Nothobranchius furzeri: one gene and its partner. The protein of the gene in region 2 interacts with the protein of the main gene of each other region in a biochemical or structural test. Links are inferred from orthologs where the notes say so. Each region holds a gene or a part of one and is shown on either strand. Other genes may lie near its edges. The genes, in order: hadhb and hadhab.

Region 1 (15,111 bases), on a different chromosome or scaffold from region 2:
TCCAGTTTATCTACATGGTGCATGTAAAAGTGGCATGGGAGCTGACGTAAGCGCCTCCCAACGTACAAATAAACAGTCAGTAAAAACACTCCAACTTTTAAACAACTCTTTAGAGCAGGAATATTCAATTCCAGCGTGTTTTGGTGGTTTCTCTGCTCAAACACACCAAATTCAGTGGTTGAATCACCTGTGCAGCAGCTCATCGGGCTCTGCAGAAGCCTGTTAATCATCTGCTGATTGAAACCAGGTGTGCTGAAGCAGGGTTAAAACTAAAACGTGCTGGATACCGGCCCTCCGGGACCGGGGTTGAATACTCCTGCTTTAGAGGACACAGAGTGTTTTTTGTTTTTCAGATAATTATCAGATCTCACTAGTGTAGTAAATTAAAGGATCTAAATAGCATTTTTAGATTAAAAATATTAAGATATTCCCAAAAAAGGTCAAGCAAACATGTGAAATGTAGAGTTTTGGTTACGATTCTTTATCGATACCCAAAGGGGCGATTTGCTTGAGAACATCTCCAAAAAGTATCAAATTAAGAATAAATTAAGTTAAAATACAAAACCACAAATAAAATAGTTCCACTAGGTCAATAATGTATTTTTTTCAGTAAAGTCACTGATCAATTTATGAACTTTAAGCTGTAACAGTGAGGAAAAAAAAACTAGCAAAAACTGTTCTAAACCAAATACGTGATGACACACGATGGCTGTGTAACAACGAGGAACAACCGAGGACAGGTGAGTCCTGATTAGGTCGGCCCAAAGCCAGACAGCAGCCCTGGAGCGAGTTAACGGTCTCAGCGTCACGGTTTCCATGCAGACAGGAAGACTGGATTTTATAGTTTATGCATGCTCATGGCAGAGTATTTTACTTAATCCAACACTTATACAAACGAGTGCAAATTATTTAGTTTCTTAAAATCCTGAAAAAAAACTCAGATTTGCAGGCTTGCTTCCTTCTATTTAGACCTCGGGATCTATTTATGCCGATCGGGTCATAGGATGGTGATGTATGTTGTAAAAATACAGCTGATATCATCAGGCTGGACTCATTTCAGGCTGATTCTGGTTCCTTTAAAGTTGTGTTTGACATTAATTTAGCATGTTGTGCTGTAAATTTGTGAAAAGGTGGACCACCTCGATTACAGAATTCGTAATCTACTGGTAACAAATGTCAAATAATACACGAACATTGGATTACTGACTCATACATTAAACATAGAAGTTCATGTGAGTTAATAAATAAATGCACAGGTGTACTTTTTAGGATTAGTATCAGAAGGTGTTTTTGTCGTTTCTTCCCATCTTACATTTTAAACAAAACACACGCATGGGTACTTTCAGTAGTGATGGCATATTAGGCACAACCGAGAAGGTGAACAAACAAAAAGGTGACAAGAACAAGTTACGTATTTTTCCTGAGTAAAGTAGAAATGTCGAGAAAAAAATATCTAATTATTGTCAGAAAAAGTTGAAAGAAGACTTTTCCAGAGGGAGTGTGAGGAAATTAACCCCACTGTGCTCCTGAACTCATCTATGTCTGCAGTTTCTGCACATTTTGACATATTAAACTATAAAAACACATCATTTTACTTAATATGAGGTGCGGTCATTTAACTACTTCTGCAGCTGCAGCCACTGAGGTCAACAAGGAAATTCCTTCACAATAAAAGTCGCAAACGCTCCAAGACATTTTAAGCTCATAAATAGTTTTGAAATACATTTACAGGAAAACAATATTAAAGTAACAATAAATAGTTTTTTTAATTTTAAGCTAGAGCCTTAACATTGATCTCAGTGGTTGTAGAGTTAGAAACTTGACCTGTTTCATCTATGACACCACTCTGCTGCCCTCTGCTGGCCAGATACCACTGATAGTTTTGTGGAGCTGTTAGCTGTAATGCTAACTATTAGCTTTTTCAGTTTGCTTATCATCAATAAAAAGCAAAATAAGAAGAAAAAGAAGTTTACTTTTCTGTCGGTATCATGGCGGAGCCTGGAAGTAAACGTAAGAGAGTAATGTCTTTGGACGTGAAGCAAAGAGCTAAAACCAGGGTGAACATCGGTGCTGCCTACGCTAATCTGAGGGAGCTACAGAAGGCTACAAAATCACAGACTGATGGGGACCTGGCTTTGTTGCTACTGGACGTTATTTACTCCAGCTACTGGATGTTTGTGTTAGCTTGTTGTTAGCGCTAGCTTCTGCAGGCCGCAGTAGGATTGTTTGCGACAGTTACACTTTCAACCAGTAGGGTCAGTGAGCAGGATACTGCTCAGTGTTACTTTAAAGTGACTGAGTGTATTTTCCGAGGTGATAAAGGGCAGTGCATACCTAAATCACTGCAAGCAGTATTTTTGTGTTTGAGTAAGACCTTACCAATGGATGGCCATAAGGGTCAAAAATCTCTGGTGGTGCAATTTTTGAACAAGTACTTCGTCTGATAGTTAACCTCCAGCCTCCTGTCACTGTATCCCGATTGATCATGCGCCCTGGCTACTTGGCCACAGGGATATCCCAGGCTGACTGGTTAGCACGTGACACATACCCGGGAGTGTGGGGGTCGAATCCCGCCCAGGACCTCGTTTCTCCACCTTGCCGAAACTGGCAACAAGCGAAAAGGTCAATGTGTAAAACAACATTTATAAATGGCAAAAGTTTTGTACCTGCTTGTTACAAATTGGGAATTGCTTTTTATCCTCACGGGCTCCTGTAGAAGGAAACATTGCATCTAATTTGGCGTCTTCCAGAGACTTAGACCCGCTTCTATGTATTTTAAACCCAATTTTTATGGTTATATGATACAAAGCCGCCAATATTTTTTAAACCGTGGGATCATTTAATTCATTTTCAACATTTCGATTTTCAGAGATTAACGGTGAAAACTACACATTGTCTCTTTAATGAAACACTTTTTAAACATTAGATGCACTAACATATGTGTGAGTTTAAGAAGTCCTAAAACAGTTAGCTTTTTTTAGCAATAAGATTTCAAAACTTCACCTTAACAATTTTTATTATGAAAATAATGTAGACATCTTTCACCACCTTTTGCTTTTATTCTCAATAGTAATAATTCAATAACGATATATAATGATCAATAAAAGTTTCATTTTTCCATTAAACCCTATTGGGTAGCTTCAAACTAGAGCCATTACTTACATCCAACCAATCAAAAACACAGATCCAAGCACGCTCCATCACCAAGCCCTCGCTTCTTAAACCTAAAGAGACAGCAATGTGACTTAAACAAGATGCTGCAGCAAGGAGAGGTCAGAGTGCTTCACCAGTGTGGCAATACGTTCATCCTTACAAGTCTGACACAAAACAAACAATGTTGTTTTGCAACACCGGGTACTCCGGCTTCTTCCCACAGTCCAAAAACATGACTGTTAGGTTGATTGGGATTGGTCTGTCCAAATTGTCCTTAGGTGTGAGTGTGTGTGTGTGTGTGTGTGTGTGTGTGTGTGTGTGTGTGTGTGTGTGTGTGTGTGTGTGTGTGTGTGTGTGTGTGTGTGTGTTTGTCCTGTGTGACTCTGTATTGCCCTGCGATCGACTGGCTCTCTGTCCAGGGTGTACCCCACCTGATAGGCACCATCGTCATATGGTGTGCTGTATGGGGCAAAATCTGTCTTCTGTGTGAATTTGAAACAAAAATAGAAAAAATATCATGTTCTTATGTGTTGCATTAACATGTTAAAGCACATTTTTACACGTCTTCCAGATGAATTTGGAGCATATTCATTGATTAGGTTTTATTTTGTCATATTTTGATAAATATGATCAAATCTTAATTTTAAACAGAAAAACAAAAAGAAACATCAACAGGAAAAAAATATCTAATTAAATAGGAATTGTCAGTTTGAAAAATGAGTAATTAGCTAATGTTTATTTAAAACTACCCCGATTTTATTTTTGTAGTTGAAGTTTGTGTTTTTATTTTAACTTGAAAATGTATTTTTTGTGCTTTTTTTCGTTAATTATAATTTTATTGGGACCTTTTTGCTGCATCAGCTACACACAAAAACCAAAAAACAACAGATTTCCAAAAAAAATTAGTGAAATTGGCAACATTTTAGTGCCAACGAGAAAAAAAATAGGGATAAAAAACTAATCAGTAAATAAACTAACTCTTTCATCGTGTTTTTATCACAGATGCATGTACAGTAGCAGCCTTGTTATGGTGCAGCACTGTAAAACATCTTGTCTAACAACACACACACACACACACACACACACACACACACACACACACACACACACAGCGCACCTAGCAGGTGGAGGAAGTTAAGTGCAGCTTTCAGCAGGTGCCGCCCTGCGTGAGCCGGCTACGACGAGATGAAAGACGCCGCTGTACTCCCAGTCTCTCCCCGGCTCCCTTCACCGTGCCAACACGCCGAACATCCTCCACGCACCTTCCTTCCTCCCCTCCCCGCTTCCCCGCGCGCTCCGTGAGGCAGATTTGTAGTGACAGCAGCGGGTGCATTCGCTAGTCATTCCCCATAAAAGGTTCCGTCTGATCAAAGCCCCGCTGAGGCAGCGAGGCGGCTCGCTATGTCGGTGTGTGTCTGCGTGTCTCTGGTGTCTCGCAGGGTTGAGGAGCTTTTTGAAGCTTTATAAACACAAAACCCCTCTCTGTCTATCTCCCTGCTATTTACATTTGAGCTCCGTTTTGCCTTGGCAGTAAAACATTGGTTTTATTCCCTCTGCCTGCAGCCCGCGTGACAGGCTCGGCTGCATTAATCAGCTCCTCCCCGCTCCGAGTCAAGGATTCCTTAAACTGGAAGAATTAAATCTTTAAATACATTTTAAACGGAAGTGTCTGACTGAAGTTATGTTAACAAGCCCCCCAACCTGAGAGGTGTGTGTGTGCTGAGCAGAGATTCCCCGGTGAGCGCTGAGGGGATCGCACACACCAAAGCAGAGAGGAGGCAATGTGTTGATATAAATTTACCAATCCGCTGTCAATTAGCCAAAGCTTTTAGCGGGTGTAAAAGTTGTTTTTTTTTTCCCACCGTATAGACGACACCAGTGCACGCTGAACTTTTAAGTCATCTGCCAGTCACGCTCCCAATTTTCCATATTAATGTTGTTTTAAATCACCAGGAAGCCTCAGCACACCTCTTTACCTCCTCATTAACATCAGTCGTCGCGTCAGAAGCAGGCAGCATTTTTTCACAATCAATTAAGGCAAAGGAATGCAGGGCAGGTTTACTGCTGACACATCTGGGTATGGAGACTCCATAAAAAATATGCAAGTAGAAAAAAAATTGGCAATGCAAATTTGGAAGGCTGTTTAGACTTTTAACAGACTCCACACCCCTTCTGCCTAAATTCTGTTTTCATCCACTGCACAAAGGCCTCTATACATTGATCTTTTCCTCACAATGGTTTCCATCTCTGCTGAATAAAACATAGGCCGATTGCTTGAAGTTGTCCATGTGTCAAGGCCCTCTATCAGCAAAGAGTTCTGATTCTTTGAACAAAAAAGTCCAAATGTGACTAAAAACAGCATAAAAAGTCATTCTGATGATACTGGAGGTGTATCCTCGTTTGCAGAAAACGCATAAAAGCTATTTTTAACTGTGTTGTTTAAAAGTTAGAACAGAAACTGTCGTAGAAGCTTCCTGAGTGGCCTCTGTTTGGAGAAATTCAGTTTACGATCCACTGGAATGATGAGCTAACTGCTAGTCTGGGAGGAGTTGTCTTAAAATGGCGGTTGATAAGGTGGCCCTGTGGGGGTTACTTTGGGGGACCAGGCCCTCTGACGCAGGTTAAATACTTCTGCTTCGACTGCAACAAAATGCATCACAAACATTATATTGATACCTCTAGACCATTTAGGTAGCACTAGAAAAGCAACAGACCCAGGCTTTACTGTGGTTATCGTCACACCATTTAATTATGAAAAACATCTTACAGTGTTTATTAACATTAGATCACCACGGCTCCGCTGAGCTCTTTAAACTTTGCTATGTTACATTAGACTCTGAGACTCTGCTGACAAATCCAGAAAACCTTCCTCTGCAGCCTCCGAGCCGAGTCTCGTTCACACCTTCAAACACATCCACCCTTCTGTTGGATTAAGGCAGCTTTTATGTACACCATCGTTCAGATGTTAGCAGGGACATGAACAGCAGTCACGATGAAGATCAGGATCTAAACGAAGGAGCGTGCATTACTGGGGGTAGGCCTCAATCACCATGGCGTGACCCTGGAAGAGACAGAACATTTAAATACATCTCGGTAACGTTCAGGTTGAGAACGGCTCGGCCTCTGGTTACCTGTCCTCCAGCAGCACACGCTGCCACCAGTCCGTACTGGCCTCCCTCCTTCTTCAGCCGATGAGCTACAGTAGTTGCCAGCCTGCAGCCCGTGGCACCAAACGGGTGGCCCAGAGACAAGGAGCCCCCCCAAGTGTTGAACTTCTCCATGGCAGGAGCCCCGACCTGAGCAGAAAGGCAGCTTTAGGCCAGGGTGAACATTTTAATTATAGACTGTCTGACAATATTTAACGTGAACATTTATCGTATATCTATGTATAATTAACTAGTGATTTGCCTTTTTTCACCCGATATTCAAACTTATTCAACAAGACATTTTTATTTGCATCTGTGCGGAACGTTAACTCATTCGCTGCCAGCCGTTTCCTGATCGGTAAACCCCTTCCCTGCCAGCGTTTCTCAATGTTTTTTTAAGAGTCACAGAACGTTGCGCACTAGGATGATGTCGACGCCAAAACAACCAAAACAAAGCAGAGACTCGCCTCTTACATCAGGAAGAATCCGCGTGTTTCGAGCGTTATCCATTCTTTCATAATACGTTGTTGAATTGTGATCGGCAGAAGCTTTTCCGGTTCGCGCCTCACTTTTTTTACAGCAGCGGCCCAAAGCGATCTCCTAACACATGGATTTTCTGCTTCCTGATCATGTGACGTGTGCAGATGAAGATCTGCTTTAGAGCTGAGATGTTTGTTCTCACGGTGCGGGGGCTCGTCCGACGCCCACACAGTAAAAACATGCAAATGACGACTTTAGTCGTCAATGGCAGTGAATGAGTTAATAAGGAAAACACACCTAAACATAAAGGGCTTGCCTTTAGAAGAAACTCAGTTCATAACTGGACTTCATTCATTTAAACAACAAAGAAAAATGATGTAAATTTCAATATTAAACCCCTGCTGCTGAAATAGTTGATGTCACAGAGGAGGTGGCTTTATAAGAACTTGTGGTTTTCTTTACCTCTCCTGCAGTATTTTTTTCTATTAACTATATATTGTTGTTATTCTGTTTGCTTGCAAATAAACAAACATTTACACTAATAACCATAATTAAAGAGCAAGTCACCCCAAATAACCTTTTTTTTGCTGATAAACTAAAGAAACGAGTGTCTAATCGTGCTGCAGACACGTGCCGTCAATAATTTGGCACTTCAGTGCATCTTAATTAAAATTTAAATATTCTGCCTAAAACTGGCGGTGTTGTGCCGTTGTCAGGTACAAACTGCTCTGTATTCTAATTTAAATCTGCCACCGCTATTGGCTAAGAGGTATGCTATGATGTAAACTGGTAGATTATGATGTCACAATGCCTGTGTGTGTGTGTATTTGTTAGCAGCTCCGCCCCCTCGGTCTGCCAGGCAACAGCATTTGTTGCATTTTTCAAACATGAAGTGGGAGTGGAGTTAGAATCTGGTAGGGGTTGACTTGCTCTTTAATGTTAAACAAAGATAATAACGGAACTCCAACATTTTTGGGTGGAAAACACTTTCTAGAACCTTTTTGCACGTTTGACATTTAAATTATATGAAAATTTGTGCAGAATTTTAATTTTAATTACACACTTAAACAAACAATTCTCCAATTATTTTGCATTAGAAACCCCGATGTGCTCCGAAGATCTTATGTTACCTTCGATTTCCTGCCCATGTACGTCTGAGCAAACCAATCTGAGTCCATGGCTTTCAGGTTTGCCATAATCTGACCCTGAAAAACAAGCATACGCACGGTTACCATAGTAACGAGCTAAAGATGAATCTCTCCTAATGTTTAAATTGACAAACAATTAAGCTAACGTTTAGTTTTTTTCTATACGTCTACGGAGAGGACTTACTGCGAACGCCTCATGAAACTCAAACACATCAATATCAGCCATGGACAAGCCGGCTCGTTCCAGGACTTTAGGTGTAGCGTACGTCGGCCTGAAAGGGTCAAAAAGATGTTCAGAAGGCTGAAAAATGTAAATTATAAATTTTCTCCAATGAAGATGACAAGCTCACCCCAAAAGCAGCTGATCTTTGGGGTCCTGAGACACATACACAAAGTCTCTGCCAGAACAAAAATATACAGATTAGCATCAAAGCACAAAACATAATAAAATAAGAACTAAATACGTACCTGAGGTACGCTTTGGGCTTAAAACCCATGGCCAAAGCCTTCTCCTCAGACATGATGAGCACAGCTGAGGCACCGTCAGTCTGATGAAATAAACGTACATTTATTTACAGTCGAGGAAAAATCAGACAAACGTGACGGAAGAGAAGAAGCTGAAAGACAAGCAGAGACATAAAAAGCTCCATCTAGACTTCTAGCGGAGAAGATCATGGTGGAATAAAGTTCTAACTGATGAGTTTCCATCACACCGGAGCAGAAAGACCCCGAGAGTCCAGGCGAGTTTTACCAGGAAGGACGAGTTGGCGGCAGTGACGGTCCCGTGAGGTTTAACGAAGGCAGGTTTGAGTTTGGCCATTTGCTCCATGGACGATGGGCGGATACCGTTGTCCTGAGACACAATATCACGACCTGAAGAGACAAACATACAGACTTTTAACCACAGTTTGTTCCCCTAAACATTCTGTAAACAAAACAAATGACAGTAAAGATAATAATCAGTAGGGGTGAGACACGTGCCAACTCAAACATCTATTCATAAATGTTCATAACCGATTATAAATAAATGCTAAAACAGCCGTCGGGCGTGGTAGGAACATAAAAGTTACTTGTGCCACCCGGACACTTTACGGGACGGACCAGCGAAAAAAACAAACCCGCAACGGCGGAAGCTTTTTTTTTTATTAGTTTCAGCCACTGAGTGTGAGATTTACTCGTCAGACAGATTAAAGAAGAGTTGTGTAAAACTAAAAGCACAACAGCAACACACCTTCCGCGTTTCCATCCCGGGTTAGATAAAGAGAAGAAGCCAGAGGTTATTCCTCCTAACTAGCAAACAGCCGAGGAAGGATTAACTAAACTTTCCCGCAACTCCGGCCTCTCCATAAATCTCCGGCGTTGCTTTGCTGCAAAGCCGAGGCAGCACCCGGGAGCCTTTGGCCACATAAAAGTGGTCACATGATGGTGGGATAAAGGGTGTGGGCGCCGTCTCCTCGCTGTCACAAGCTTCCTGTTAGCTTGAACGTAACTTGCTTTGGTAACACTTTAGTTTAGGGGACACAAAGTAACCATTAATTAGCTGCCAATTTACATACATATTAGTGGACTACTAAGTCTGAATTGGTCATTATTAAGCTATTATTAGATGATTATTACCAACGCTGTAATTCTAATATTAGCAGGCCATAAATTAAGAGTTTTATCAAAATGAGCCAATCATAATGGTTTGTTGCTGATTCAATATCATCAATGTGAGGCTTGTAACAAAGTAATTGAAGGGGAATAATTATTCTGCATTAATAACCAAAAATATTACGTTCTGGTAATATGCAAATAAACACCAAACTCCATGTTAATAGAGCCTAAACAACAATCTAACCACTTGTAAGCAAGAATATGTTCCCCATTCTAAAGTCAGATTTTGTTCATACCTAATTACTAGTAGTTCTGTATTAATTAACCACTTAAAGGCAAGAATATGTTCCCCTTGAATTACATCTTTAAAAGCCACATATTGACCCTTTGCACCGACGTCACCTAATCACGTGGGTCCACCATGGTGGACGGCTAAAGCATGTAAACAGTGAGCGACACGAGTAGTAAACAAAGGGAAAAGTAGAGCCTGAAATTGTTTTTGTGATCAAAACAAAAACAAAACTCCTCCAGCATTCCTTCCACTAGTTCATGCCCAGTTCAGTTATCAGAAGAAGTAGCGCATCTAGCGGGGGCTCATAGAGAGCGGTATGTTAACTAGCTTACCAACGTTAGCTTACGTTCTCTCTGCAGCTGTTCACCGATGTAAACATGTTGCTGACTTTGCCTAAATTCACCCCTTTGGATTTATAACTTTATGTTGTAAACAGCATTTTACACCAAAGCTGAGTCCGGATCCCTACCAGCTTCTGTTGCTGGTGGTGTTACCGGGTTCAGCTGCTGCTCTCACACCGGAATGAGAAGATCTCTGAATGCCGACGCTCATATAAATAAATAACATCATTTTACCACACGTAATCATACATCTGAGCTTTAATATTGTTAATAATTGTCTCGCTTTACACTACAGTGGACGGAGCGCAGCCTCCGTGGTGAAATACCCATCCATCAGGATTATCAATAACTAGTATAAACACATCACATTTATCCCTGTCTTCCTCGTGAAATAAATGAACGTTAATCTTACCAGGTAAAAACATGTTTGCTGCAAATCTGAGGCCTGCTAGTCCGCTTGATTGATCGCTGCATCATCTCCGTCATCAGTCTCCATCAAAGTTATTAAAAGTAAAAAACGAGTTGAGTTTACGTCCTTGTCTCTTAGTGCAGCCGACCACGCAGCAAGCTAAAACCATTTTACTGTCAAATCAACTAAATAAAAGCGATACAAGGCTACAAACTGGCTTGTTTTGACTACCATCACTGGAGTTTCTACGGGTGTAAACGGTCTTTTTGCCGTCCAGCATGGCGAAGGGGGCGGTCACATGAGTGGCGTGACGTCACGTGCAAAGGGTCAGTTGATGTGAGCTACTTAGCATGTGTGTTAATCAGCAACAAACCAGTTACCAAACAGGTAACAAACCATTATGAATGGCTTATTTAGATAAAACTCTTAGTTTATGGCCTGTTAATGTTAGAATGACGGCATTAGTAATAAGCTGTTTATAAGTGCTTAATAATGACTAGCTCAGACTTAGATGTCCACTAATATGCATATTAATTAGCAGCTAATTAATGGTTAATTGGTGTTCCCTAAACTAAAGTGTTATGCCGACTGAAGCAACGCTCCTAAAGGTCCTCACAGCCCCACGTGAACGGTCGGGTGTTTTAAAGACCAGAAGCGCCACATCTCTGCCGACTCTCAGCTGATCCCAGTTCAAAAACTAAACTGACCTGTTAACTTTCATTATCCAGGTTTATCCTGTAGGTTTCAAGCCTACGTAGGGAATTTGTTCGATCTTACATGAATAAAGTAGTGGAGTAAACGGTATTTGGTAGCTTGAATTAACGTGTGCTGAATTAAGTGGAAAAAAACAAAAAGCTATGACAAGAGAAAAAAAAGACAGCAAGAATCTACGTAAGATGGCACAGCCCTACTGTTGAGGTGAGAAGCAGAGCTTACCTGGCACTTTAAAGGACACCACATCCTCCAGCAGCCCGTCGCTCTGGGCCTTTTTGGCGAGTGTGTGTGATCGTAGCGCAAACTCGTCTTGTTCCACTCTGGAGACGCCAAACGCAGCAGCCAGGCGATCTGCACTGTGACCCATCGTCTCCGCTGTGGAGAACTCCGCCACGGCGGGAAGCTGCCGAAACACACAATCGACACTCAGGAAGAAACTCCACAATCTGATCAAAAGAATTAAACGTAAATGCTAACTTCGGGGGAGAGGTGGGCAAGCCGGATGCTGCCAACCAGGCTGAGTCTCTGTCCGACGGTTTTTGCCTTGTTGAGGGCCAACATCGTCTTTCTCATCTTTCGGCTATGGCGGATCGGAACGTCGGACATGAACTCCACTCCGCCTGCAACAACGGCGTCACACTGGCCTGCAGCGATCAGTCCAACAGCTGAAGAACAGGAGATAAAGGTCAAACTGAGGGAGGAACAGGGTAAACTGTAGAAATGTTAGTTTGATTTAATGCTAACACCAATAAAACTAAAGAAAAGAAAAAAAAACAACGTGGAGATGTGTCAACATACCTGAGGTCATGGCCTGGTTGGAGGAGATGCAGGCCATGGTGACGGTGTGAGCTGGAATCTTGTCAGAGAACCCCGCCCCGAGAGCTGCCTGGAGTTACATAAATACAGAAAAACAGACGTCGTTGACACACGGGGACCCACGGCTAATGCCTGCTTATCAGCGTGTTCATCCAGCACGTGTTGATCATGTACCTCTCGTGCCACGTTGCTGGTTTTGACTTCCTGAATAACTGTTCCGTACACAATGTAGTCCACAGCATCTCTGGGGATTCCTGTTCGGTTTAGCAGACCCCTAAAAAAACCGTTGGAAAAGGTAGGAAACCGATGAGGCTAATGGAATTAGAAATGAACTTTAGCATCCACAGTTTTATGGCAGACTTTATGAGAAATTAATTAAAAAGACACTAGAGCCACACACTTACTTAAGAGCTGCCCTGGCAAGGTCATGAGGCATTAAATCAGCATATCTGTAAACGAATAGTCAAAATGTCCCATCAAGCAGCAAGAACAGGATCCCAAAGATTCATCTGGCTTTTTTCCCTTTTTATCTAATTAAATTTTAAATGAAAAGTATTTATTTTACATTCTTAATCACACTAAACTGTCTCTATGTGAAAGCACAGACTTCCGCAGACACGTACGTGGTTCCTGACAACAAGAAAGGGGTTCGAACTCCTTCCACTAGAACGATGTTCCTCACACCCGGACGAGCCAGTGTCTTCTTGCTTTTTGTTTGAACTGAGAAAAGAAAAACACAAACAAGTCTTTATAATGTGACCGTATGAAGTTAAGCACTTAGTTTTGTGTGGGGATTAAAAAAATGAGAGAAATAAGTCTTTTTTTCACACTTATGGAAGGTTTGAACTGTTGGCTCCACATTTTAAGCAGACTAATGCGTGAATTCAAACTTCGGTTCATGTAATAATGTTACCTTACCCTGAGCTTGAAGCTGTGCTGTTGTACTGAGAGAGCGTGCACCTGTGTGAAACAGCAAATCATTGTCATGATCGATTAGAAACAACAGCCGCTGTTGCACCAGTACAGTTTAATCTTCATCATTTAGGACAAATGAAAATTAAACGTTGTGTAGTATTCATGGAAGCAACCCTTTTTCTGTGGAGTAATTATCTGCAGATAAACCGTAAAAAGGACCAAGACATCTTACCAATGCGAGCTGCCCAAGAAGGGGCAACAGTGCAGGTCCGCATTGTGTTCAACAGCATGGAGGCCATTATGTTCTAGATCGAAACAAACAATGATTTAAGAAAAAATACACCAACAACACAGAAAGTTTATTAAAAATGTTAGTGTATCTAGTTTTTTTTTTTAATTTTTAATACTCAAGAAACCTCCAGAAATCTTGGCTTCCTTCGAAGAAATCACGATTATTATTTATGGCGTAGTCTGAATAATCCTTTGGGGTCATGTTAACAGCATCTTGCATTTGGGGGGGGGGGGGGGGGGGGCAGCAGTAGCTCAACAGGTTGAGCGGGTTGTCCAGTAATCGGAAGGTTGCAGGCTCGATCCCGGCTCCCCAGGGCAGCTGTGGCTACATCGTAGCTCATCACCATCAGTGTGTGTGTGAGTGTGTGAATGGATGAATGATACACTGTAGTGTGAAGCGCCTTGGAGTCCTTACTCTCAGAGGCGCTATACAAGTGCGGGTCATTTATCATTTCTCTTTTCGCTGCTGCATTAACAGCAACACCACATTTTCATGTAATACTAAGATGCTTCTTTCACGACTAAAGTTCAACTTTGATTATGATTTCAACCTCTGAGTCCAGTGGGACAGTTAACTATTATATTACAGTTTGGCTTTACATAAATAAAGAGTGGGCAATGTAATTTAAGAATGAAAAATATTCACCTTTGGTCATTTAGAAAAATACTAGCATAATTATTGTCTAAGACTAATGGATCTATATTTTTAACATGTTTTTATCGTTTTAACTAATGTGATCTCTAAGGGTTTCATTTTATTAGCCCTTCTGGGCTTCTACCTGACGACGGGTCACACTGCCCTACCCCCTAACAGCGACTGTGACCTTTCACCTACATTCCTCTCCACCAGAATGACAGACACATAAGTGCTTGATCTCAGGCTCACACTACATCATAGACGTGTACAATCGACTAGCTGTTTATTTCCTTAGATATAAGATTAATGCACTTTTATACCACGTTAAAAAGCGGGTTTGTAACGCAAAACAAAGACGCTGAAACGATGAACGCAAGCTAGCTAACCTAGCTAGCGGTTGGCTACAGCAACATTACTCGAATATAAAAAAGCTACCTTTCTAAGTTCATAAATAATAGTATCTCCCTTTTGATTTAAAGTCAAGAGCGTGGCATAATTTTGTCTTACCTTTACAGATGTTATGCCTTTACCACCACTGCTTCCCTGCTCAGCGATACGCCAGACTCACGCTGAACTACAAAATCTCTGTAAAAAGACCCAGACGATTGTGCAGCTGACCAAAATTATCCCTGAAAAAAATAATAAAAATACGAACACTTACAAACTCATAACATGTGTGTACACAATATAAAATTTTTGTATTTTAACTGTTGTTAAAATTATGATAAAGTAATTGTAACTTTACTTTAAACTACTTCAAATATAGAAAGTTTTTAACAGGCAATATTTTTAACGTCCTTGTGGCCGGTATCGGTACGGATCTGCTCGGGTGCAAGATCGGCTCGGGGTCCTTCGACTGTCGATGACGTCAAAGTAGTTGATTGGCTGAACATGAAGCTTATGGAAGTTACGTTATCGCGTTATGATTTTGATTGGTCAGAACAAATTTGCAGTCGTAGTCTTAGCGGTTGTAGTCCTGTAGTCCAAAAATCAACACTTTTTGGAGAAAATATGTTTGAATTTCCAAAGGAAATGTAAAATATAAGCAAATGGTAAACGGTGACCCTCAAAAGCTCTTGGGGCAAAATAAAATATAAGAACTTTATTGAAAGACACCAAGCAATATTTTGAGTCAAAGAATGTATTTAGATAACAACTAAGGAAATATAGAGA
Region 2 (15,514 bases):
CGGCGCTGCGGCTGCTTTATATAGCGACTCGTTGCATTCTCCCTCAACCCAAATCCTCAGATCACGCATTTTAGCTAAAACGCTAACGTTAGCTTTCCTTGCGTTGACTGTAGAGTTGTGGGTGATGGTCACGCAGATGTGTCATGAGATTTGAAGCGTTGCTGCCTTTCACAGACACTTTTTCTGCACGTGCTGCAAACAGGATAGCCGTCTTCTATAAACTGTTCCTCGGCATTCTTCAAATATCCAAAAGATGCCCGTACTTCCCACTTTGTCTTCTTTGAGGGATTAAAAAATGAGGGATAAAAAATGTCCTCCTGAGCGCTGCCGTCTCCTCCTTTGGCCATTATTTCAGCTTTAGCTTCAAGAAAGTTTTGGTCGTAAACAACAAAGCGTGCATGTGCTGCCGGCAACTTCAGCAGATGATACGGTGGCTGGTAAGGGTCACCGCGCCTACACCGCAGCCACGGTAATCCCACCAAGATAATATAGTTTTTTTAAAAACAAGACGGTTATTATTATTGTCAACTTTTTTACCATGGTTTACCGCTACACCGGTTACCATGACGACCCTAAACCCCACACGGGTTTTCATACACTTTGAAACAGGGCTATTCAATTCTGGTCCTCGAGGGCCGCTATAGAGCTCCGGACCCCACGTGACTCTCAAGCCCTTTTCAGACAGACATTCTGGAACATTTGTGGACAATTCAATCCGGTTTTTAACCGGAACTGTGTTTTCAGACATGCCACTTTTGTACCGGAACTTGTCCTTTCGGCTGCATTCACACAGCAGGGAAAAGTTCCAGATGTCTGACGGCAGCGGGGGGTGGGGTGGGGGAATCGGACTTATGTTAAGAAGAACAAGAAGAAAATATCATTTCTATAGCGCCTCTCAAGATAAAAGTCACGAGGCGCTTAAGCATAATTCTGCGCACACGAAGACGCATAAGAGACCTGGATGATGAAGCTCAATGGTTAAAGGAATCACTGAAGCGGTGTGAAGCGCTCCGTCACACGTCTAGGCGGTACCGTAGGAGGCGAGCTGCCGTGGTTCGCCGCATTCTACAGCAGCGGGCTATCTGGGTGCGCACAGCGTCCCCCGGTCCCCTCCTCCTCTCCCTCCCTCTTGTCCGGAACTCTACCTCACCAGTCTGAAGCAGCCACCCTGTCCGTAACAAGTCCGGACCTGTTACTTGGGGCTTCGTCCGGATAAATTCTGGAACACATTATCCGGATGTTTGTATTCAGACAGAAAGGTCTTACGGACAGATTCCGGAACATTTCCGTTTTTCATGGCCTGTCTGAAGGGGGCTTCAGTTAGTAGACGCCATATTGGCAGGCAAAAAAGGTAAACAAACACGGATCGTAAACATGAACGAGATCGGCTTGGATTTTACTTCGTCGGAGTTTACTTCACACTTTAACACCGAATAAATCGTTTTATATAGTCAGAAACTAAATAGACTAAACATCTCCGACCCTTACCGTGCCCCTGGGATACTTTTTAAAAACGCCAGAAGCTGTCGGAGCAGACTTCTTACCGGACCTGGCCGGGGGACCCCTTGGGATTTCCCCGGAGGAACTGGCCCAAGTTGCTGGGGAGAGGGAAGTCTGGGCCTCTCGACGCTACTGGCCCCGCAACCCGACTCCGGATACGCGGATGGACAAATAGCATAGATTTACATGTAAGTAGTTTAAATGGAGTGCTGTGCTGTTTGAATGTATAAACTGAACGTCAAGAGAAATCACTAGTTTGATTTTTTTTCCATGAATAAAATAAATATGTCAGGCAGGAGCGTCTCAGGATCTGTCTGAGATCTGTCTCGGTGAAACAGATAATAGCAATCCAAAGTGCTTTTTATGTGTGATCCTACAATCGATCAACCATTGCTTAAAAATTAAATACAGCTTAGCCGGTTAATTGCTGTGATCATAAAACACGGAAACGGCAGCACGCAGAACTCACGAGGCAACGTTTTACGTGATGTTTACTTGTTGCTATGAGTAATAAGACATAAAAAGCCACGCCAAAATAAGTTTAGGAAGCCCACTAAGAATCGTATTAAAAGCATTTAAAATAAATACCATACACAGTTGAGGAAACGTTGGTTTAAGTACCTGATATGAAGTGGTCGCTGCATAAGCGAAATCCTTTACTGTTGTTATCCCACAATTTCATTTTAGCCCGGCCACTAGTGCGCTTTATTGTGATGATCCAACGTTTGCGGGGTTCCGGATCTTGGGGAATCCTGTAGATGGCTCATTCCTTATGTCGTCCGTGTCTGTTCTGCATCTTGGGGCACAACAGGAATCTACCATATTTCCCGTTTGATTGAGTTTTTAACAAATAGTCCAGCTGCGGGCTTCTGCCTGCCAATATGGCGCCGTTTCGATTTGAACTGTTGCATGCCGGGAGAAGTGACGTCAACTCCCGGAGCTCTATAGGCACATTTTAGTTTTAACTCTGCTTCAACACACCTGATTTCAATCAGCAGATGATTAACAGGCTTCTGCAGAGCCTGATGAGCTGCTGCACAGTTGATCCAACCACTGAATCAAGTGTGTTGGAGCAGAGAAACCACTAAAACGTGCTGGATACCGGCCCTCGAGGCCCGGATTTGAATAGCCCTGCTTTAAACCGTCTGAGTTATGTTTAAAAGCTAAACAGAGACCTTCCTTTGCCATCATCTTGGATGGACTGATGTGCTTCATTACAGCATGAAAAGCAATGGAGTTGCAAAAGTCCGTGAAAAACCGCCGCACAAGTGGTACTCAAAAATTTTTGACAAGGTTGGCAGGTCTGCTATTGTCAGTTCTGGTCAGCAGGTGGCGTGCTTGGCAAAAAAAAAAACATATCACAGTACATGATAAGATAATCACTTTTATGGTTTTTAGAAAAAAACATAATAATTCCTGAAAGAGGAAAACGCTGAAAAAATACTTTAAAGGAGGAAAATCACTTTTTTTGCACAACAGCTGTTTTGCTCTGCCATGTTTCTGTTTTAAATATAAATTCCTTCATTCTTGAGTAGTGACGGATAATCCATGTTTACTGCACAAAGACAGGACTCGTGTCTCTGTTATAAACTGCCTCGGTGCTGCTCTTTCACACTTGAGTCTTTTGCCTTCCTCAACATTGCATTATTAATCACCATTCATCATAACAACTTTGAAACATTTACAATGAATTCTGAATTATTTATGCAGAGAAATTCATTGTAAATTAGATTTACTTGGCTTTGTTGTTTTCGCTGAAAGCTTTTATTGCTGCTAGCTGCGTCCACTCTGGCTGTTTGTAAAGAACGTATCAAAACGATGGTGCGTGCATCTAAAACACTTGACTCTCTCCGTCCAGCATGATCCAGGCCTGCAAAACCTCAGAAGAGATCTCTAAACTTTCTCAGGAAGGACAGAAGATGTTTGAGCAGATTGAAAATTCTCCAAAGCCCATCGTTGCTGCCATCAACGGCTCATGTTTAGGAGGAGGCTTGGAGGTAAACGAGTCAAGTGTGTTGTGAAAAGTGAACTTATTGTATAAAGGTTTACTATAACAGGCATCTTTTTGTGTGTTTTAGTTTGCCATTGCCTGCCAGTACAGAATTGCAACAAAGAGCAAGAAGACTGTTCTAGGTACCCCTGAAGTGATGCTGGGCCTTTTACCTGGAGCTGGTGGGACACAGAGGCTACCCAAAATGGTTCGTATTGAAATGATAAATTATGCTTTTGGTGTTCAATCAGTTAAGAAGTGGTTTGGTGTTTATCTCAGTTATAGTGTGTGAAGCATTCTGGTGTAGCTATCTGAACAAAACCTGCAGAGTAATCTGGTTATTGCTTGTAATTGGTTTAAGAAGCTGACGGGTGTCGGTACAAGATCGGCTCGGGGTCTTTCGACTGCCGATGACGTCAAAGTACGGCAAACCCACTCGGACAAAATACACTACACATCTAAACTGCTGGAAAGAATTTAGCAGTTTCGTTATTAAAATAATGTTTCTTACGACGTAAGTTTGTGTTTATAATGGTATTTGTAAAATAAAACACTATATTTTATTCATAATGTTGAACTCCTCTTTGAGCACATCCCTTGAAGAATCATAGGTATTAGAAACACCTGTGAAATTGTATTTGCAGGAAAGAAGTGTGTCCCGTTTATTGAAGTATTTTGTGTTTAGAGTTTTTGACGTCCATGCGTAGTTCAGTTACGCTCATAGCTGCTAGCCAAAACTCTGGAGTTAAAAGTTTTCTGGCTTTACTAAAATACCTGTCTGTACTTATTTGATTGATGGTAGTTTTACTTTCTATTAGACTCCAAATGTAATCATTTGGCACGTTTCTAATTCATAATTTGTAAGAATGTAATCGGTGATATTAGCATTAGCATTCTTATGGGTTTTTCCATGTATATTAGCATTGCGCTAACCACGCTCTGCCAAATTGCAGCCTTTGCGATTAGAAAATCTCCTTTCGTCACATCGCAATTTAATTGCACATGCAGTTAATCGTTCAGCCCTAATATGCATGCAGCTCTATGCTAAAAGTGTATTTTCGAAGAGGTAATGATGGATTTCTTTGTAAAAGTTGTCCATCTTTCCAACAGAAAAATTTGCCTGGACCAACGCAACGTGATAATAATGTAACATGATTACGTAATTCCGTAAGGTTCATGTTCAGCCAATCAACTGCTTTGATGTCATCGGCAGTCGAAGGACCCCGAGCCGATCTTGCACCCGAGCAGATCCTGTACCAACACCTTCTACACTGGTAGCCTGCAGACAGCAAACAAGACAATCCCTTTTCCCTAGGGATAATCATGCCCGGTGCCCTAAAACCCTGATAGAAACCACACTGGTGCATTTTATCTCACTGGGGGGGGGGGGGTGGGGGGGTGGGGGGGGGGGGGTCGCTGGAGTTTTATTTGTTGACAATTAAAATTGCTCCAACGTTTTCAAAGTTAAAAACATTTCTTTTAATCAATCAATCAATCAAATTTATTTCTAAAGCGCTTTTCAAACAAAGTGTGATTCAAAGTGCTTTACAAAATGACCCCATATTCCCATAACAGGTTAAAAACATTAACAAACATATGCAAGCACACACGCACACACACACAGACTCACACACACACACAAGTAAAAATTATATTAGGCTGAGTCCAGATGAGCCAAGTATGGTAACACAAGGAAACGCCGTCAGAGGAGCCGTCTGTCCCGGCAGCATCAGGTCTTCCACACTAAGTCAAGAGCGCTCAGTGGAAGGGGAGCATAGACCCCCACCTATAGAGCGCCCAGGAAGCTACAGTCGACCACCGCTCCCGGGGCAGAGGGCCCCCACAGAGGAGACACTGGATTAAAATGAGTAAAAATGTAATAAAAGAGCTAACATAAATGACAAAAATTAGAAAATAAGTAATAAATAAAATGATCTAGACAGTAAAATAATAATTTAACAACGGTAGTTTCTGCTTCAGCCCTCCCCCCCTCCCCCTGCGCAGCGGCCGCAAACTCACTGATGCGCCTGCAGCCTCTCAGAGTTCCTGCTGCTCTAAACATTAAAATAATTATTTCATTTTCTGTTCCTCACTTCTGATGACCTTCAATGGTGTCTGTTTGTTGCAACCAGCAGGTAGAAAAACTAACTTTTTATTTGACTATTTTTCTGTCCTGCCTGTTTATTATCTTCCTGCATCTCCTCTCAATCCTAAAGAGAAACTGCTACCTGGGTTCATATATATTCACCTTATGAGTTACCTTTGAACTGCAGTTCTAAAAGATCTACCGACCACAAAAACAGCGAAGTGCCGCTGCTCGCCGGCCGCATCAGTGATCGGTGCGTCACCGGAGGACAAAACAGGTGATGCGCTCCGCTCCACAGCAGCAAAATGCATCAGGCGCAAATAAAAGACAGAAAACATTAAAGGAAATGAGCCGACATGAACAATCATGTGTTAAATTAGTTTTTGAGTTGGCGGCACCTGATTTGATAACGTTACTGTGGCCGTGCTCAGGACGCAGATGTCTGGAGCGCGTCAACGATCAGAGCTTTGCATGCGCAAGCCGGTTAAGGTTAGGATGGGGGTGAGGGGAAGGTTAAAAAGGTCACAATTTGGTCAAATGTCCGTTTTAGGGCATGTGTCAGTACCGACGCTCTGGCACAGCGCGTCGCCTCCCGACGCGCAGGAGCTCGTCACCTGCTGTCTTTTCCGAGGACTGCATCTTGCCGGTCATTATCACGTGACAGCGACTTGTCGATGACAAGCATAAAAAGTCACTACAGAGCAGTGAGGTCGACTAGTCGACTAGTTCATACAACCCCTAGTTGGCACCAGTCGCAGTCAAGCAGACATCATCTAAAGATCTTTGATTTGGCTTTTCAGAAACCTTTTAGATTAAAAGAACCTGAACTTCATCTTTTCCAGCATCTTATTTATATAAAAAGCAAATTTTTTATCCCAAACATCTCTGGTAGTTTAATACAAGCAGATAGGAGAATCTAAGGTGTGATTGTTTGTTTAGTTTCCTAAAGGAGCAGAATGAACTAACCAGTTAGTGCACATCCAGGGTATCCACGGGTCCTTAAAACGTCTTTAAAAGTCTTAAATTTGCTTTTCCAAATTTAAGGCCTTAAAAAGGGCAAAGAATCCTTAAGTACAGTTTCCAAAGGTCTTAAATAACCAAAGACCCAATAAACAAGATTCTTTTTTTTTTTTTTTTTTTTTTTCGTGAATATCTAGTTAGTTTTCAGCATTTTTTGTGAACGATGTTTGCGTAACCGTACACATTCAGTTGGGTGTGAAACGGGGCTAGTTTTAGATGGTTAAGCTAGTGGGAGCTTGCGCCATGAGGAAGTGCAAGTTTAATTTTAACTGGATTGCTAATCCAACGTTCGCAACGTGGTTATCACCGGTTCCAGGCAATAGCTGGAAATTATAGTTTAAATTTAATTTAAGAAATATCTTAAATTTGGTCAAAGTGGTCTTAAAAAGTCTTAAATTTGGCTCCCTTAAACCTGCGGACACCCTGACACCTCTTCTCGCACCCTACAGGTTGGTCTTCCCAATGCCTTTGACATGATGCTGACAGGCAGGAACATCAGAGCGGATAAAGCCAAGAAGATGGGGCTCGTCCACCAGCTCGTCGACCCTCTAGGTCAAAAATCTTCTTAATTAGTTTAAAAACCTAAACCTGCTTTAAACAAGGCTGTCCTGTTGAGCTCCGATGTTGTGAGGTAACTTTGTGTGTGTTTTCTGACAGGACCGGGGCTGAAGAGTCCAGAGGAAAGGACGATCGAGTATCTGGAAGAAGTAGCTGTTGATTGTGCCCGAGGCATCGTCAACAATAAGATTCCTCTCCACAAAGAGAAAGGCTTGATGCAGAGTGGGTGTTGAATCGTTGTCCCCTGAGCCGATTTAGTTCTGATCCAAACTAAAACTCAGTCTCCACAGAAATACAAGACTATGTGATGAGCTTCGAGTTGGTACGGAACCAGATTTACAAAACGGTCCACGATAAAGTCATGAAGCAGAGCAAGGGCCTTTATCCAGCACCTCTGAAGATTATAGAAGTAAGTTGCCCCGTCTCCGTTCTCACTGGCTGCATGGATAGATGAAAGTTCTAGCTCCACTTGGTGGATTGGTCTACTGGATTTGTGTAAAGTTTTTTTTTTCTCTTGTTTAGGAAACAACCCCCTAATGTCTTATTTAGTTCACTTTGGATTCAGAGACACTTATTTAAGATTTATTTCTAACTATTTCATTTTTGTACATTTAAAATTTCACTTTCCTTTTACTTCCTGTTTGGTGATCTCCTGTTTTCTCTTCTAGTGTGTGAAAACTGGGATTGAACAGGGTCCCGATGCGGGATACCTGGCTGAGTCTCAGGTAAAGCCAGTTCGTCTGCGTCTCTGTGGCATTTATTGTTTACATCCGTAAACCAAACATTCATAAGTCACCTGTTTGTCACAGAGCTTCGGTCAGTTAGGGAAGACCCCTGAGTCTGCAGCTCTGATCGGTCTCTATCACGGCCAAGTAGCGTGCAAGAAGAATCGCTTTGGAACTCCTGAAAGAGAAGTGAAGTGAGTGTAGTTCTCACATGTGGTCCTGATGGGGGAACAGACGCCAGCTACACCGTTACCTGTTCTTGTTGTTTACCTGCAGAACTCTGGCCATCCTGGGAGCGGGGCTGATGGGAGCAGGTATCGCCCAGGTGACCGTGGACAAAGGCGTGCACACGATCCTAAAGGACACGACGGTGGAAGGGCTGGCCAGAGGAGAGCAGCAGATTTTCAAAGGGTCAGCAGGCTTCACGCTTTAATAAAAACGTTGTTTTTATAATAAAAGACTCTTAAGTCTAACCAGACAAAATATTTGGATTAAGGCTCAACGATAAGACCAAGAAGAGGAGCATCACGTCGTTTGAGCGAGACTCCATCCTTTCCAACCTGACCGGCCAGCTGGATTACCGGGGCTTTGAAAAGGCTGACATGGTCATCGAGGCCGTGTTTGAAGACATTAGCATCAAACACGCCGTGCTGAAGGAGGTGGAAGCGGTGAGTCGGACTCCAAACAAATGACTTGTTGGACTGAATCTAGTCGCTTTTCATTCTGACCCAAAAAGATGTATGACTGCAGGTGGTGTCCCCCCACTGCATATTCGCCAGCAACACGTCCGCTCTGCCCATCAAGGACATCGCTGCTGCCAGCAGAAGACCAGACAAGGTTTGAGCCGTTTAGAAATACGAAAGAGATTATTAATCATGTGTAAAAGTTCTGATGGGTTTCCCTCCCTCTGTAGGTGATTGGAATGCACTACTTCTCTCCAGTGGACAAGATGCAGCTTCTGGAGATCATAACCACTGATAAGACATCAAAGGACACCACGGCATCCGCCGTGGCGGTCGGCTTGAAGCAGGGCAAAGTCATCATCGTTGTCGGGGTGAGATTTGGTGTTTGCTTATGTTACCTAATGGAAAAGATCAAAGGTTTGATAACAAGCTACTCACTGATGATTTATGTTAAAGGTGCAGTATGTAAGAATACAGTGAGAAAATCCCAAAAGAGTCTAATGTTTCTGTCATTTTGGAAGGAAGGTTACACTGAAACACGTTTCATATCCAGCTGGCTGCGGGGATTGTCGGTTTTTCTCCTTTCAAAACAAAGGAAGGAGGGACGTAACTACTGTTAGCCATCAGTGAGTGTGGGGGTGACGTGTCTCTTGCGAGCTAATACTGCAGCGCCGACGACTGTAATTTGACGACGGTCGGCAAAAAGCTCCAGAATTGTTTAAAGTGGTTGCAGTAACCAAATTTTACCACAGGATGTCATTTTTTACTTCTTTTCTACATAATTCACCTTTAATGTTTTAATAGGAGTATTATTACCCACAATTCTTGGCAGGATGGACCTGGATTCTATACAACTAGGTGTCTAGCCCCCATGTTGGCTGAAGCTGTTCGGGTTCTTCAGGTTAGTTGTGTTTTATTTTAACGGTTAAATTACACACAGAAATGGTTTTTATTAGTGTTATTCGTTATTTTTGTGTCTCTTCACAAACAGGAAGGAGTCGACCCCAAGAAGCTGGACACACTCACCACAAGCTTTGGCTTCCCCGTAGGCGCGGCGACGCTGGCCGATGAGGTCGGTATTGATGTCGCGGCGCACGTGGCCGAAGACCTCGGCAAAGCCTTCGGCTCCAGATTTGGTGGCGGAAACGTGGAGGTTCTGAAGACCATGGTGAATCAGGGCTTTAAAGGTACTGCTGGTCCCATTAGAGAACCGTGTTCATACAAGTTTATTTTACATTTATTAACGATGCTTTTTGTTTTTGTGAAGGCCGTAAATCAGGAAAGGGTTGCTACGTCTACCAGCCAGGACGCAAAGCCAAAGACGTCAACCCAGAGATTGGAGACATTCTGGAGAAGTTTAGGATGACACCGAATCCCGCTGTGTGAGTCAGGATTGAACCCACTACGGGAGCAGCGTTCCACACCATCTCTGAGAGTTCTTTTAGCACTGTGAGTAGAAGTTTAAAGGATGTTGGGTCTTTTCTGCAGGTCGTCGGACTCGGATGTGCAGTACAGGCTCGTTTCTCGATTCGTCAACGAGGCCGTTCTGTGTTTGCAAGAGGGCATCCTGAACAGCCCGCTGGAAGGAGACATTGGAGCAGTGTTTGGGCTGGGGTTCCCGCCCTGCCTCGGCGGTGAGACTTTACCTTCATCACCTTCACTGGAAACAGCCGAACCCGATAATCTCTGTTTTGTTCCACATGAATCACAAAACTTAAGAACACTTTTATGCACCATTTTCATCTCTTTCTTTTATTGTTTTGATTATTTTGGTCTAACCCAACTTTTCCATGCTGCCAGGGCCTTTCCGCTTCGTGGACACCTTTGGCGCTGACAAACTGGTCCAGAAGATGAAGCAGTTTGAAGCCGTGTACGGGAACCAGTTCACACCCTGCCAGCTCCTACTGGATCATGCAAGAGATTCTAGCAAGAGATTTCACAAGTGATGGCGTCGCCCTGCGTGCCAGTAGCTGAGGATAAACTCCAGACCGCCACTAGAATGTGCCTGACATTGGTATCACATACGGGACAAACAGGCTGACAGCTTATTGGTGCACCAAACTCAAAGTGCTGTTTCATCAACAACTCCTGCAATAATTCCCACCTTCATGACTTCATGACTGAGCGAGATGTAGAGTAAATAAATAATTATTACTGAGGATCCAGTTTGAGGCAGTGTGAATGTTTTGCAGAAAAACATGAGCTCTTTGAGTCGAGTGTCCACTAGAGCCTCTAGAATGCCTACCTAATAAACTGGCAGCTGTGTGAAACTAAAAGGTGGTTTTGTTAAATTTTTACTTAAATAATAACTTGATGTGTAGATTAAAGGGCGTGGAGGCTGATACACACACTGCATCTGTAAAGACATTTGTGGAAACTTCCAGCTGCCAATTTCATTGTTTAATACTGATGAATGTTGAGGTTTGGGTTCATTAAGTGTCTTTTTGTACATTAAAGCCTTCCTTGTTTGGAGATTTATGTAAATGTGAAGCTTCAATAAAAGACTATTGAAGGAAATCTGCTTTTGTCTTAGTGTTTGGTTTGAAGGCAGGTTGGACAAAATAAAGTCTTAAAACCTGCCGGACTTGTTTACTTAAGTTATTTAAAGAGCAAGTCACCCCCAAATCACATTTTTTTTGCTGATAAAACTATATAAAGGAGTGTCTAATCATGCTACAGACACGTGTAGTCAATAATTTGGCAGTTCATTGCATCTTGGTTAAAATTAAAATATTCTGCCTAAAACTGTCAGTGTTGCACCGTCGTCAGGGAAAAATTCTGCATTGTATTTGAATTTAAATCTGCCACCGCTATTGGCTAAGGTATGCTATGATGTCATCTGGTATATTACGACGTCATAATGCCATTGTGAGCCTATGTGTGTGTGTATTTGTTAGCGGCTCCGCCCTCTCGGTCTGCCAAGCAACAGCATTTGTTGCATTTTTCAAACATGAAGTGGGAGTGAAGTAAGTTTCTTGTAGGGGGTGACTTGCTCTTTAACCCTTACCTAACATCAAAGCATTTTTGGTGCTAAAATGACATTAATGTTAGAAAATTTAAACGTTGGGAAAGAGTTAAGATATTAGGAGATGGTTTAAGTAGAATCTCTTAAAGGTGCATTATGTAGAAATAAAGTAAAAATGACATCTTATGATAAAATGTGGTTACTGGCACCACTTTAAACAACCGGAGCTTTTTGCGGACAGTCAAAATTGTCGGCTCTGCAGTTTTAGCTCGCAGGAGACACGGCAGCCCCACGCTCACTGATGGTAGACAGTAGTTGCGTCCCTCCTTTGTTTGAAAGGAGAAAAACTGACAATCCCCCCAACTGGATATGAAATGTTTCAGTATAACCTCCCTTCCAAAATGACTGAAATATTAGACTCTTGTGATTTTTTCATTGTGAAATTCTCACTATATTCTTACATACTGCACCTTTAATCCTCCCACCGTCCTAATGGGTGTGACCCAGCGAGGAAAGTTGACCATTGAGCAGGATTGATGGTTTATCCTTTGAGATCCATGTGGCAGGGGTGAGGTGGTGCTCACTCCTCACCCCTGCCACATGGACCCAAGCGATAAACCATCAGCCCTGCTCAATGGTCAACTTTACTCGCGGGGTCACACCCATTAGGACAGTGGGAGGGTTAAACTAAAAAGCCTTTGGGTGGCAGTGACAAAGCTCTAGTCTGGGGTCAAGGCCCTTAACCAGGGATTGGATTGGGAATGGACCACAGCTCCAAATAAAAGCTCGAACAGGACAGGCGAGTGATGGGTGGGTTGGCGTACTGACCTGTCACTGTGACCAGTAGGCTGAGCTGAAAGGAGAACCTTCGACTGTGACCTGTGGGTAAGTGTAAATACAAGCAGCCGAAATGAACTTCCTACACAGATTGGCTATGGATTCACCCTCGGATGGTTGAGAAACTCAGCAGTCACGGGTCCTCCACATAAGGAGCATCTGGTACCAGATGTGTTCCTCAGGGCAGACCCAGGACCTGCCGGAGAGATTACATCTCACTGCTGGCATGGATGAGGTGGCGATGGAGGTATTTGCAGCAGAAGATAAATTTATCATTTAGAACTGGTAAAGACCTCATATTTCTGCCTTTGTTTTTGTGGAGCCAAGTACAATATGCATCAACTGTGAAGCAGTAAATGTCAAATCAGAAGACAGGCTGGACTGAGATGTCCACGCGGAGACCTAAAGGGATGGTTTTTGAAGCAAGTTTCTGAGGAAAGACTATTTCATATCTAGCTGTCGTTACCGGTTTGGAGATTAGTTCCGACTACTAACAATGGGGCCAGTTGCAATGTGAGGCTTTTTTCAGCACAATTATAAACTGTGACTTTAATGTTTCACTACAACGAAATTTGACCACAAATATTTAAGTTTTTCCTCAGAATATCACAAAGAAATTAATGTAAATAGCGTGCTTGTGTGACAGGGTGTGCATCCTGTCACTGTTTCCCTATTGATCATGCACCCTGACTGCTTTGCCAGGGATATCCCTTTGGCTGACTGGTTAGCACGCATGACACTCGCCTGGGAGTCTGGGGATCAAATCCCCGCCCAGGCCCTTGCTTCTCCACCTTGCTACATTTGGCATGGTTGGCAGGATCCATGTGTTACTGTGAAGTAGGTCCATGGATTTGAAATCTGTGGCACCCTGCGCGGCACATAGGGACATGCTTGTGGAAAGAGGGGGAGAGATGTGACAGGGTGAGCATGCGCCCTGGCTACTTGGACACATGGATATCCTTTTGGCTGACTTGTTAGTGCACGTGGCCATCACCCGGGAGTCTGGGGATCTAATCCCGCCCGGGCCCTCAATTCACCTTGTCACACTTGGCAGTGAAAATGTTTATGTCAATATTGTTAGCATAACTGCAGCGACATTTCTGAGATTAGTAGCAGGCTATTTTATTATGTATGGCAGTCCTCACTCAGACTAGCCGTTAGCTTATCAGTCTGGTCGTGTAATCTCTGTTTAATCCTCAAAGAGTGTGTGTATGCGCATTTACAGTAAAAAGGTAACCAAATTTATAACCCGCCCAGTATATTTATTTTACGTCTTCTTTGGAATTGATTTGATTGTTTGTTTGTATCTCATTCATTTGAATGTTTAAGGACCAGACGGACCAGACGTTATTTTTGCAGGAGTTTAACGTAATGACTCAAAAAGTACCGCATATATATGTAGGCGACTATCTCAATATTATGAGATAGCTAAGTCATAATTTTGAGATTATATATATATATATATATATATATATATATATATATATATATATATATATATATATATATATGAGAGAGAGAGAGAGGGAGAGAGAGAGAGAGAGAGAGAGAGAGAGAGAGAGAGAGAGAGAGTTATCTGAGTGGCGGGAATGGGCTTCCATAAAAACGCGCACGTTTGGACATAAAATTATTACAACCAGATTACTCTTTTCATTTCCTCATCAACATAAAAACGTGTTTATTTTTAAACTTCTTTTATTTGTTTTACGCTCGCGTGGTAATTGTTTGGGGCTAATTTGTTGAAGCGGCGCACTCATTCGTCGCGCAGGTCACGTGTCTGGTCTCCATTGTCTGCAGAGCAGGGTGTGTTCCGCCGGGACTCAGAGCGGGCTGGGTCGGGCCGGGCTGGCTGCTTTTCCCCTCACATCAGCATCTTTAATTATCCTGTGACATCGCTCCATGATGCCCCGGAAAGGAGGAGACGCTTCGGCCTGAGCGCTTCTCCATGATGCTGATGCTGATGACGGTGAGGCGTGTCTGACTTCTTGTTTTGCCGCTGCTGATGAAACTGAGGCACCTGGAGAAGGAAGATAGAAATAAATCTGCGAGGATGTTTGTTGATTCTTGGTAAATAAAATGTCTTCAGCTAGAGCCTGCGAGGCGGTGCAGGTGGTGGTGCGCTGCCGGCCGTTCTCCAGGAGAGAGGAGGTGGCAGAGTGTGAGAACATTCTGGAGATACATGACAAACTGGGACAGATCACCATCCGAAACCCGAAGGCACCGCCTGATGAGCCAATGAAGGTCTTCACCTTTAACTCGGTGTACGGTTGGAACTCAAAGCAAAGTGACATCTATGATGATGCTGTGAGACCTCTTGTAGAGTCTGTGCTCCAAGGCTTCAACGGCACCATCTTTGCTTACGGACAAACCGGGACCGGTAAGACCTACACCATGCAGGGGGTGTCCAACGACCCGGAGAGGAGTGGAGTCATACCAAACTCATTTCAGCACATTTTCACTCAAATCTCCAGAAGTCAGAATCAGAAGTATCTGGTCAGGTCTTCGTACCTTGAGATCTACCAGGAGGAGATCAGGGATCTCCTGTGCAAAGACAACAACAAAAAGCTGGAGCTCAAAGAGAACCCTGAGTATGGCGTTTACGTGAAAGACTTGTCTTCGGTGCTGACGAAGAATGTCACAGAGATCGAGCACGTCATGAACATTGGGAACCAGTCCAGAACGGTGGGCTTCACCAACATGAACGAGCGCAGCTCAAGGTCTCACGCCATTTTTGTTGTAACCGTGGAGTGCAGCGAACTAGGCCCGGATGGTGAGGACCACATACGTGTTGGCAAACTGAACATGGTTGATCTGGCTGGAAGCGAACGCCAAAGCAAGACAGGCGCTAAAGGGAAGCGTCTGAAGGAAGCTGCCAAAATCAACCTGTCCCTCTCAGCGCTGGGGAACGTCATCTCAGCCCTGGTGGATGGGAAGAGCGCCCACATCCCTTACAGAGACTCCAAACTCACCCGCTTGCTCCAGGACTCTCTGGGCGGCAATGCAAAGACGGTCATGGTTGCAACAGTTGGACCCGCCCATAAGAACTTTGATGAATCCCTGGCAACGCTCAGGTACGCCAGCAGAGCCAAGAAAATAAAGAACAAACCACGGATCAACGAGGACCCTAAAGATGCCCTGCTAAGGGAGTTT

The links.
Region 1: the proteins of hadhab (region 2) and hadhb are reported together in a solved structure, tested with the Homo sapiens proteins (2 studies listed by IntAct, with this or other methods). The link is inferred for Nothobranchius furzeri from reciprocal best matches to the Homo sapiens genes HADHA and HADHB.

Annotation. Positions count from the first base shown.
Region 1 is NC_091742.1:11,816,183-11,831,293, forward strand, and holds hadhb (trifunctional enzyme subunit beta, mitochondrial), read right to left. Parts: upstream 14,567-15,111; 5' UTR 14,446-14,566; intron 13,316-14,445; 5' UTR 13,310-13,315; coding exon 13,243-13,309; intron 13,056-13,242; coding exon 13,014-13,055; intron 12,816-13,013; coding exon 12,719-12,815; intron 12,545-12,718; coding exon 12,500-12,544; intron 12,370-12,499; coding exon 12,270-12,369; intron 12,166-12,269; coding exon 12,078-12,165; intron 11,945-12,077; coding exon 11,757-11,944; intron 11,683-11,756; coding exon 11,502-11,682; intron 8,801-11,501; coding exon 8,679-8,800; intron 8,476-8,678; coding exon 8,396-8,475; intron 8,326-8,395; coding exon 8,278-8,325; intron 8,200-8,277; coding exon 8,112-8,199; intron 7,985-8,111; coding exon 7,910-7,984; intron 6,450-7,909; coding exon 6,285-6,449; intron 6,215-6,284; coding exon 6,179-6,214; 3' UTR 5,874-6,178; downstream 1-5,873. UniProt on the Homo sapiens protein: Mitochondrial trifunctional enzyme catalyzes the last three of the four reactions of the mitochondrial beta-oxidation pathway.
Region 2 is NC_091758.1:20,997,179-21,012,692, reverse strand, and holds the end of hadhab (hydroxyacyl-CoA dehydrogenase trifunctional multienzyme complex subunit alpha b), read left to right. Parts: intron 1-3,358; coding exon 3,359-3,497; intron 3,498-3,578; coding exon 3,579-3,698; intron 3,699-7,045; coding exon 7,046-7,148; intron 7,149-7,253; coding exon 7,254-7,376; intron 7,377-7,444; coding exon 7,445-7,563; intron 7,564-7,822; coding exon 7,823-7,879; intron 7,880-7,963; coding exon 7,964-8,073; intron 8,074-8,155; coding exon 8,156-8,290; intron 8,291-8,375; coding exon 8,376-8,547; intron 8,548-8,629; coding exon 8,630-8,716; intron 8,717-8,792; coding exon 8,793-8,933; intron 8,934-9,394; coding exon 9,395-9,463; intron 9,464-9,553; coding exon 9,554-9,749; intron 9,750-9,829; coding exon 9,830-9,944; intron 9,945-10,050; coding exon 10,051-10,196; intron 10,197-10,362; coding exon 10,363-10,508; 3' UTR 10,509-11,079; downstream 11,080-15,514. Other genes in the region: kif3cb (kinesin family member 3Cb), read left to right, coding at 14,441-15,514. UniProt on the Homo sapiens protein: Mitochondrial trifunctional enzyme catalyzes the last three of the four reactions of the mitochondrial beta-oxidation pathway.